Kluyveromyces lactis: one gene and its partners. The protein of the gene in region 1 interacts with the protein of each later gene in a pairwise test. Links are inferred from orthologs where the notes say so. Each region holds a gene or a part of one and is shown in the gene's direction. Other genes may lie near its edges.

The links.
Region 2: the proteins of STU2 (region 1) and UBC9 interact in a two-hybrid assay, tested with the Saccharomyces cerevisiae proteins (2 studies listed by BioGRID). The link is inferred for Kluyveromyces lactis from reciprocal best matches to the Saccharomyces cerevisiae genes STU2 and UBC9.
Region 3: the proteins of STU2 (region 1) and DAM1 interact in binary tests that used the Saccharomyces cerevisiae proteins (3 or more experiments, as listed by UniProt). The link is inferred for Kluyveromyces lactis from reciprocal best matches to the Saccharomyces cerevisiae genes STU2 and DAM1.

What each region holds. Positions count from the first base shown.
Region 1 is NC_006041.1:1,460,478-1,464,563, reverse strand, and holds STU2 (Stu2p), read left to right. Parts: upstream 1-1,216; coding exon 1,217-3,715; downstream 3,716-4,086. Other genes in the region: SER2 (phosphoserine phosphatase), read left to right, coding at 1-265; thioredoxin TRX2, read right to left, coding at 333-647.
Region 2 is NC_006041.1:441,943-444,465, forward strand, and holds UBC9 (E2 SUMO-conjugating protein UBC9), read left to right. Parts: upstream 1-1,503; coding exon 1,504-1,977; downstream 1,978-2,523. Other genes in the region: PEX19 (Pex19p), read right to left, coding at 257-1,159; SYO1 (Syo1p), read right to left, coding at 2,320-2,523. UniProt on the Saccharomyces cerevisiae protein: E2 ubiquitin-like--protein ligase mediating SUMO/Smt3 attachment to septins and PCNA. Seems to be involved in degradation of S- (CLB5) and M-phase cyclins (CLB2).
Region 3 is NC_006038.1:999,344-1,002,109, reverse strand, and holds DAM1 (Dam1p), read left to right. Parts: upstream 1-1,278; coding exon 1,279-2,220; downstream 2,221-2,766. Other genes in the region: cytochrome oxidase assembly protein SHY1, read left to right, coding at 1-795. UniProt on the Saccharomyces cerevisiae protein: Component of the DASH complex that connects microtubules with kinetochores and couples microtubule depolymerisation to chromosome movement; it is involved in retrieving kinetochores to the spindle poles before their re-orientation on the spindle in early mitosis and allows microtubule depolymerization to pull chromosomes apart and resist detachment during anaphase.

The sequences.
Region 1 (4,086 bases):
CGATATAGTTGACGGAGTGCGCAAGGCCAAGACGTTGGTGGCTCTTGCAGAACAGTACAATTCTCCGATCGAATCCACCGTCATGGTCGGAGATGGTGGTAATGATTTGAACGCAATGGCCGCAGCTGGGTTCGGAATCGCATGGAACGCCAAGCCAAAGGTCCAAGAACAAGCCCCATGTAAGTTAAACAGTGATACAATGATAGACGTCCTATACATCCTGGGGCACACTGAGAAGGAGATAGAAACCATGATCAAAGAATAGAAATGTAAAGAATTTATTCTGATATATATATAGTAAAATGTATATTATAAGCAGTGTACAAAAAATTTTACACGTTAGCAGCAATGGTTTGCTTGATAGCAGCCAAGTTAGCACCTAGGACTCTAGAAATTTCCTTACCGGACTTGAAGAAAACTAGGGTTGGCATAGCACTGACATCGTTGTTCTTTGCAACATCTGGCAACTCATCAACGTCAACCTTCAAGAAGGTAGCTTTACCCTCGTATTCCTTAGCGAACTTTTCCAACATTGGGGCAATCATCTTGCATGGACCACACCAGGTGGCAAAGAAGTCGACGACGACCAACTTGTCGTCAGTCAAAGCCTTTTCGAATTCGGATGCGGAAGTAAGTTGAGCGACCATTATATATGAAATTGGAGGGGATAGTAAAGATAAATTGTACCTTATTTGATGAGGATAGAAAGTTATCAGATTATCCGATAATCAATCGAAGAGACAACTAAATAACCTTTAAATGTATCTTACTTCCTTTATATAATAATGTTGGTTAAATATCGAGTTTTTGACAAATTTTTGCTTGCTAATCAGGAATCGAGAGCTGGAATCAGCTAGAACCCGTCCATTTGTAAGCAGGTGGAAGCGCCAACACTCGTGTAACGGTGTTTTGAATGGCTTGAATTGACTGTATAATGTTCAACCAACACGCATCAGCGCCGATTGAGTGATTGGAGGGGCGTGTACGTGTATAATAGATCCTACCCTCCCATTATTCAGGTTTCTGCAAACCCGATCCAAAGCATATCAACAAAGTCACGTGATATATCACATGACTTGAAATCAATCGTTTCTGTAAACAAAAACAATCAAAATCAACCAGTAAACAAACAAACAGACGAGACAACATGAATAAAATAGACGGTCAGTGAGTCAACACAGGGTGCTGCCAGCTGTATCGCGTGTGTATATCTCCCATGGATAACGCTACGGATGATTCGGCGTCTTTTCAGACTCTGTCACTAGATGAGAGACTTGTTCATAAGCTTTGGAAGGCAAGACAGCATGGATATAATGAGCTAGAAAGCACATTCAATAAACTGTCCGTTGCTAGAGTTGCAGAGAGTGGCGTTAATAAGTATTGGAAGAAACCTGAGATTTTCACGGGGTACGTATTGGATTCCAATGTTGTTGCACAAGAATCTGCCGTTAAGGCCTTGTACAGTTTGTTGAAATTTATGATCGACGTACCCCAGATCAGAGATTTGTGTCAGCCGGGTCAATTGGTTCAGGGCTGGGTTCCAGCTCTGGTGGAGAAAGGTATGACTTCCTCGAAATCAGCGACGAAAGAGGCTTCATTGGCCTGCGTTTCGCTTGTCGTGTCATTGGATGATAATATCGTAAATGCAATCAATTGTCTGACGCCGATTTGGACCAAAAAATTACCGAAGCTGTTGACTGCAGCGTTAATGGTTCATGTAAAGTTGATAGAGCAGTTTGGGTTCGTGAACGTTTCTCAACAGGAGAAGATGCAATCGTTACAGGGTCTAGTGGAAGTTTTACCTAAACTTTGCTCACATGCGGATAAATCTGTGAGGAATGAGTCAATGCAGTTGATTTTACAACTATATACATGGTTTAATAAACCTGTACTTCAAGAGCTTCTATTGGGGAAGTTGAAGCCCATACAACAGAAGGACCTGGATAAACTGTTTGAATCGTACCAGGGCACTATACCGCCTTCTTCAACACCGTCTCAGTTTATATGGGCAGTCCCGGCTCAGAGTGATAACAATTCAACTGATTTACCCTTGGATCATGACGGAGATCTAGCAATGGCAGGTAATAACGGCCAGTCTGCCGCTGCTCTGGATAACCAATCAATCGATCCATATGATATGTTCCCCGTACAAACTATATTAGATAAGCTACCGAATAATTTCTATCAGAGTTTGGCGTCTAGCAAATGGAAGGATAGAGTGGAAGCTTTAGAAGAGTTCCACGATCAGACTTTAACCAAGGTTAAAAAATTGTCAGCATCAAATGAAGATCATTCTGAAATCATTCACAAATTTTGCTCGACTATCACTTCCGATGCAAACCTACAAGCAGTACAAATATCTACCAGCAGTTTAGATATACTAATATCCGCATTAAGATCAGAATATAACCCATTCGCATTGGAAACTTTAAACGCTCTCCTAACTAGATCAAAGGAGAAAAAACCAAACGTCGCAGATTCTATTTTCAATGCTCTCCTGAACCTTTCAAAGTACTATAAATTAGAGCTATGTCTCGAGTCTGTGTTACAACACATGAAGAACAAAGTACCACAGGTAAAAATTGTATGCTCGAAATTTCTTTTCGAGTTGCTATCCAATTGGACACCGACTGAAACTCTTCATAGAACGTCGGTATTCTCCAATTTGCCAGCGATACTCAATTCTTTGCAGCCCATTGTAAACGACAATCAACAGGCAACAAGAAATGAGGGTTTCAAGTGTATTGCTATCTTAATTAAGATATTCGATGAAAGAGAACTATCAACATATTTGGACAAGCTCGATAACTTGAAAAGGAAGAAGATCCTTGAACTTGTTGATAAAGTGGAGATCAAGGCGGCAACGGTTCCACCTCCACACCAAACCCAACCGCAAACCCAATTAAGATCAGCGGCACCAGTAGTACGATCCCAACCCTTGTCTTCAACGATCCCTTCAAAACGACTGGCCACTTCTCCATTGAAACCGGCACGTAACTCTGCCTTGAATGGCAACACGAAGTCGTCCAGGTTGACTTCAAGGTCTCTAACTACTCATCAAATGATGAACCATACGGATCTGCCTTCCTCAACACAACCCAAATCTAATACCAGTTCCAACACAAGCCTCTCTGGCAATTTCACACCACAGACAAACATATCCAACAGAATGTCACATTTAAACGATGAAGTGAACAAATTAAGACAAGAGAGACAAGAATGGCTAAGGGAGCGCAACGATCTCTTATCCAACTTAAATCAATCCAATTTACAACTTTCCAAAGTAAATAAACTCTTGAACGAGTCTGAGACATACGTTTCCAATTTACAAAGGCAATTGCAGGATTCGAAGGATCAATTGAACGCTAAGAATTTAAAGATCAAGGAGTTAGAGAGTAAACTGACGGGCGGTACTTCCGATACCATGTCAACAGATTCACCCATATCCTCGTCCATTAGCAGAGGAAGATTAACAGCAACTACCTTATCACCTCTGAGATCTACTAAAAATGCTACGACTCCTCAAAGGGTCAGATCGCCTAGTGAAAGTAGCGACGATCTACCTAGACGTGTCAATTCCCTAAACTTGAACAACCATATGTTGCAAGAGGAATCGTGGAAACGAGCTGCAGAAGTTACGAACCAATTAAAGGCACGTATAGAAAGAATGAGGGCCAAATCCAGGTCCGGTTTCAACAATCTCGGCGTAGATTAAGAGAATCCACTATGTACAAAATAGATTCCTGTATAAACGACGAATTGAGCGCAAACTCCGACATGACAACCAGAGAGGGAAGCTTCCAGTCACATGACCTAGAATGCATATATTGTCCCGGGTAATATATAGCAACGTCTTCTCTCTGCTTATCTCTGGTGCAGCCTCCTAGTTTTTCCGAAAAGTTTCTTTTTCTCCAAAATTCTCCGAAAATCGTCAGATATTCCAGATATGCAACTAGAGGGAAGATACACCGTTATATGCATTTCAAAATGCAAATAACGGCAACTAAGCCCATCACTCTCAGCACGTTTCTTTTCCATGCACGTCGTTCCCACTGATGATTCCTCGGATCAGTTGATGCGATTTTT
Region 2 (2,523 bases), about 1.0 Mb from region 1:
GGAGATACTCAGAAGAGTGCACTGTCCCGTATACCTTATGGCAAAAAGTTGTCACATATATTCAATCTTGCATAGTATATTGGTTATTATTGGTTTAGAGCTAGTCTCGTGATTTCAGTCCTCAATATGAATTTCAAAGTCGAAAAGAGAAAAATAGCCATATTATTCGAATATCATACTAATAGGCAAAGAGTGAAAGAAATAGAATAATAGTTTATTATGATTAAATATTATATTATGAGCTCATATACACATTTTATTGCTGTTTGCAGGTATCTTCAAGGTCTTTGTCGATGTTACCTAGATTTTCATCTCCTTGTATTTCCAGCATCTTGGCTAATTCTGACATATCGTTTCCAGGATCGTTACTAGTTCCCTTTGCAACCGGTGAGTCACCGAGTTGCTCTAGTTCATCCAATAGATCTGCGATCTCAGCATGGTACTTTTCATTCGTATAATCATCGCTTTCGAATACACCGATGATCTGATTCACAAGTGCATACTGTTTCTTGTAGTTATCAATCTTGTCGCTGTGTTCGGGGTCTTCTTCGTGTAATCCCATCCACTCGGTGAATTCTCCCTGCATTTGTTTCATCGGCTGATATAGCACTTCTTTAGAAGACATTTGTGAAAGCATTTTCAAAATGGCATTGTCCATTCCTTCTCCGTCCGTACCGTTGCCATCGCCGTTTTCCACTAGTTGATCTAGCAATTGGGAAAGAATATCGTCTGAGTTCTGATTTTTCTTCTCTTCCTCCAAACTTTCATCCACTTTCGTAGAATTTTCTTTCAATCTATCTAGGGTGTTGGAAATGATATTCTTGAAACCAGTACCGCTCTTCAATTGCTCCTGAACGTGTTTTACACTGTTATGGTCTTTCTCCTTCGATGCATCTCCAAGTACAGTTAGCAATGTCTCGAAATTCTGAACCATTTCTTGGTCAGTATCACCGCCTTCCTGCTGCATCAATTGTTGGAACTGTTTCTGCAAATCTTCCATCATCTCGACTACTTCTGGATCATCGCTCTGCGTAGCAGGCTCACCCTTAGTAACTGCCTCATTTGGAACAGTTTCTTGTTTTTCCTGTTCATCCAGTTTGCGTGGATCCTCTAAATAGTCATCCAAATCATCAAATTCGTCAACTTTGTTGTCTGACATCGTTTGTCGAAGTATCTGATTACTATCCGTTGAAATTTTGGTGGTGCGTAGCCCTTACTATTAATTATACCTCAGTTAAGGTTTCTTTAGTCACTGTCAATTCTGAAAAATATCACTTTTTCTTCAAAACACTATTGATGCTTTTTCTACAATATCAAAATCATCTTCAAAATCACAAACAAAAAGACGTATCGCACGGAATATCATATCCTCCAATTATTCAACAACGGTAAATCTGAGTTAAGGCTCTATTTACAACAGGGCGCAACGTACCTTAATATATTTACGGTATCTGTATATTAAAGCGACTCGACGATCAGAACGGCCGAATAATATAAACAGTCATGAGTAGTCTTTGTCTACAGAGGTTACAAGAGGAGAGAAAGAAGTGGAGAAAAGATCATCCTTATGGGTTCTTTGCCAAACCAACTAAAAAGACAGATGGATCTATGAACTTGCAGAAATGGGAGGCTGGTATCCCTGGAAGAGACGGCACTCTCTGGAAAAATGGTCTTTATCCTTTGACCATTGAATATCCTGATGACTATCCGTCAAAACCTCCTAAAGTGAAATTTCCAGCAGGATTTTATCACCCTAATGTTTATCCCAGTGGAACCATTTGCTTATCAATCTTGAACGAAGATCAGGACTGGAGACCTGCTATCACCTTGAAACAACTCTTACTTGGTGTACAGGATCTTTTGGATTCTCCGAACCCTAACTCACCTGCGCAAGAGCCAGCTTGGAGAGCTTTCTCGAAAAACATTAAGGAATATGAGAGGAAAGTCTCAGAACAAGCTCTTAGGTATACCAAGTGATACCTCCATAATACAACTTCGGAAGTAAACCATTTACTGACAGAGAAAATGCAAATACGCAGATGACGGCAGATATCAACTTGCGGGAAACCCTGGGCCTTCCCCAGCGTAAAGCGCAAATCAAATAAATTTGCTGTATTCTATGGCTCGATTTATTCTACGGTGTTGACCATTGTTATATGGCTGTATAGAGATATATCATAGGATGGAACGATCCAGTAGGTGTATAGTTCTCGTGTAAAATTTAAAATTAATATCAAGAATAATGCTAATGAATACTTGATTTATTCAATTATTTTGTATTTTACTATTATCAGGTGTAGACTGTATATATTTATTGTTTTATTTGTTACGTTCATTTTGTTTGTATGCAATAAAACTATCCAATGTAGAAAAGCAATCCTGACATCTTTCTTTCAGTTGAGGATCTTTGTTCTTGTCAACAAACTTGAAAACATTCTTCAAATTTAATGAAACCTGTGTTTGAAGTATCGAAAGATAGTTCAAGTTTACAAATACTGGTTCATCGTAATCAAAGTTCATGTC
Region 3 (2,766 bases), on another chromosome or scaffold:
GATATGTGCGAAGACTGGGAATACCGCAAGTGTACTATGACCGGTAGATTCTTGCATGATGAAGAGATTTTTGTCGGCCCCCGTGTTAGAGGAGGGATCAAGGGGTACGTTTTATATACGCCTTTCATCAGAAAGGATACGGGAGAAAGAATTTTGATTGAACGTGGTTGGATCTCGGAGGAGAAAATCGTTCCATCATCTCGTAACTTGCAACATTTGTCTTTACCTCAAGGCGATAACGTGACAATTACAGTGTTAGTGCGTGCAGCTAAAGATTTGACATCAATGCAATGGAAGAAGGAAGACAGGGAGAGTAGATTGTGGCAAGTCTTGGATATTAAGGATATGACAGAGATGACACATACTTCTCCTATTCATTACCAAGCTCTTTACGATCTGAAAGATCACCATTGGGATGAAGAATCAAAATCTGAGGGTATCGATAACAAAAACCAATCATCTTGGAAATTCTGGTCTAAAAAGAAAACCGAAACAGAACCACAACAAGAAGAATCCGAGAAACCACACGTCAACACGAAGAAAGTAAATACAGCAGATTCGGAGACAGGATTGGAATTTAACGAGTTCCAATTCGTTAAAGCGGGAGTGCCTATTGGTAAAGCACCAAAGATTGATTTGAAGAATAATCATTTACAATATTTAATTACTTGGTATGGGTTATCTCTGCTTTCATCTATCTTCCTTATCATTGCACTAAGACGTGGTCGTGGTTCCGCTATGTCACAGGATGAAATAAAGAGGCAAAAGCTAAAACATGCCAAGAAGTTCATGTGATAAAGAAACACATATTGATATTCTCAGGAATTTCTATCTCGATCCCATCATTTCCTTCAATTTTCTAGTATTCGAGATACTCAAATTCCAATAAATTATATTCAAGCAGTTAATTACTAAACACATAGTAGTATCAACCTTGTTTGTACCTGTAAATACTATTATAGCTATTTTGAATGATTTTCATTCCTGTTGATGAATACTAACTAACTATCGTTGAAATACTTGTACATCGAAAATCGAAAACGTAAATAAAGTAAAGCAAAACAAAAACACGAACAGTAAGGTGTCTCCAAGCAGACAGACGGAATGCGATAGTGTCTCTTTGGGCAACCTGGTATCTAATTTGACATCTCATAGACAGTCTGAGGTAAATTCATTACTTGTTTTTTTTTTTTTTGACCTTTCATCTTAAATTCTCAGGGCTACTTGGCACTATTCCAAACTCAACATAAAACTGCTGGATTCATCTGCTCATAAGATATGTCTCAAAGGCCAAATACTCCACAGCGGGACAGGCCAACTGAATATAGACTATCTTTGTCATCTAATGCAAGCTCAAGAAGATCTAGTTTAGGCAACAACGGTCGAGATCAGCATGCGTCAAATCAAACAATGATTGAAAAATACGTGCTCCCACAATTACAGGAACTTTCGGACTCGATGGTAACACTCGATGGTAACATGACGCACATGAATTTCATTCATGAATCGATAGCGGATTTAAATGAGGCTCTAAGCGCTTTATTATACGGATTGATGTGTAACTCTTGGTGTGTTGATTTCCCGAACATATCTCATGATACTCCGCATGAATTGAAATTAATCCAAAGACTAGAAGAGTTGAAACAAGAAAGACAAGCACTACAGGCGAAACTCAAGCCAAAGGAACTTACCAAAGGAAGCATATTACCTCTTTCAAGACAACCTTTATCACGAGGTTCTCAGATGTTGTATCGTGATGAAAATGTGCCAGGTTCTACTGCAAGCTCGAATGTTAACATTGACATTAACGATGACGAAGATAACACAGCCGCTTCGTTTGTATCCAACCCAACTACTTTCAAACCTCAAATGATATCTTCAGTAGGAGCTTCAACTGACTTTATGGGAAAACAAACGGTAGGCTCCGCGTCATCGAAACTCAGAAGAAGATCCATTCTACATCAAATACGAAACAACGCTGCAATAGGCACTATACCTAATACACTAACAGGTATTACTCCTGGAGAAAGAAAAAGATCACTAGCAGTCAGTGCAAAAAGAATTCCTATCTTGGCAGGATCATCGACTACCGCTGGCTCTGCCTCTTCTGCTAATCGTGAATCTACAAATACAGAGCCCGCTCTACCGAATAGAGTTGTAAGAACAAGACAGAGAACCTATAATCCAAAAAACCTTGCAAGCAGGCCTCCTTTCAGGTAACGAGTTATTTGATACTTCTTACCAGAGCTTTTTTCTAGATACATATTCATACCGTGTGTATATCTACCAAACAATGTAATATTACAACGTCAGTTAACAAAATGAAGAAAAAAAAATTACTGAAGGTACTCAGTAAAGATTGAAGTGCTCTATGAGGCTGCTCTTACCGCTTATCAGTGATACATGAACGTTCTCGTTTCAAGTGAAGTCTCGTTCGATTTACTTTTATTCGAGTTGAGCTTATTGAGCAAATAAAGGCCGCCCTCTTCATTTCATTCTGCAAGGAATTCTGTGAAGAAAAATGACCGAAGTTACAGAGAACATAAATCAATGAAAGAGCTAACATAAAGAATGAGATGAGAAGATTTTGAGAAGGTATTGGTTGTACATTTTAAATATAAGAAAGTGGCATATAAGTGTTTAGCCATACATCTTGATCAGTTCCATTCTAGCTGCTGACGGTTACACACCAGAAACATTGATGTTTTTTTGTTGATTTTAACTCTTTGTTCATTCACGTATTGGGAAGCGATTGACGAAGAAAAG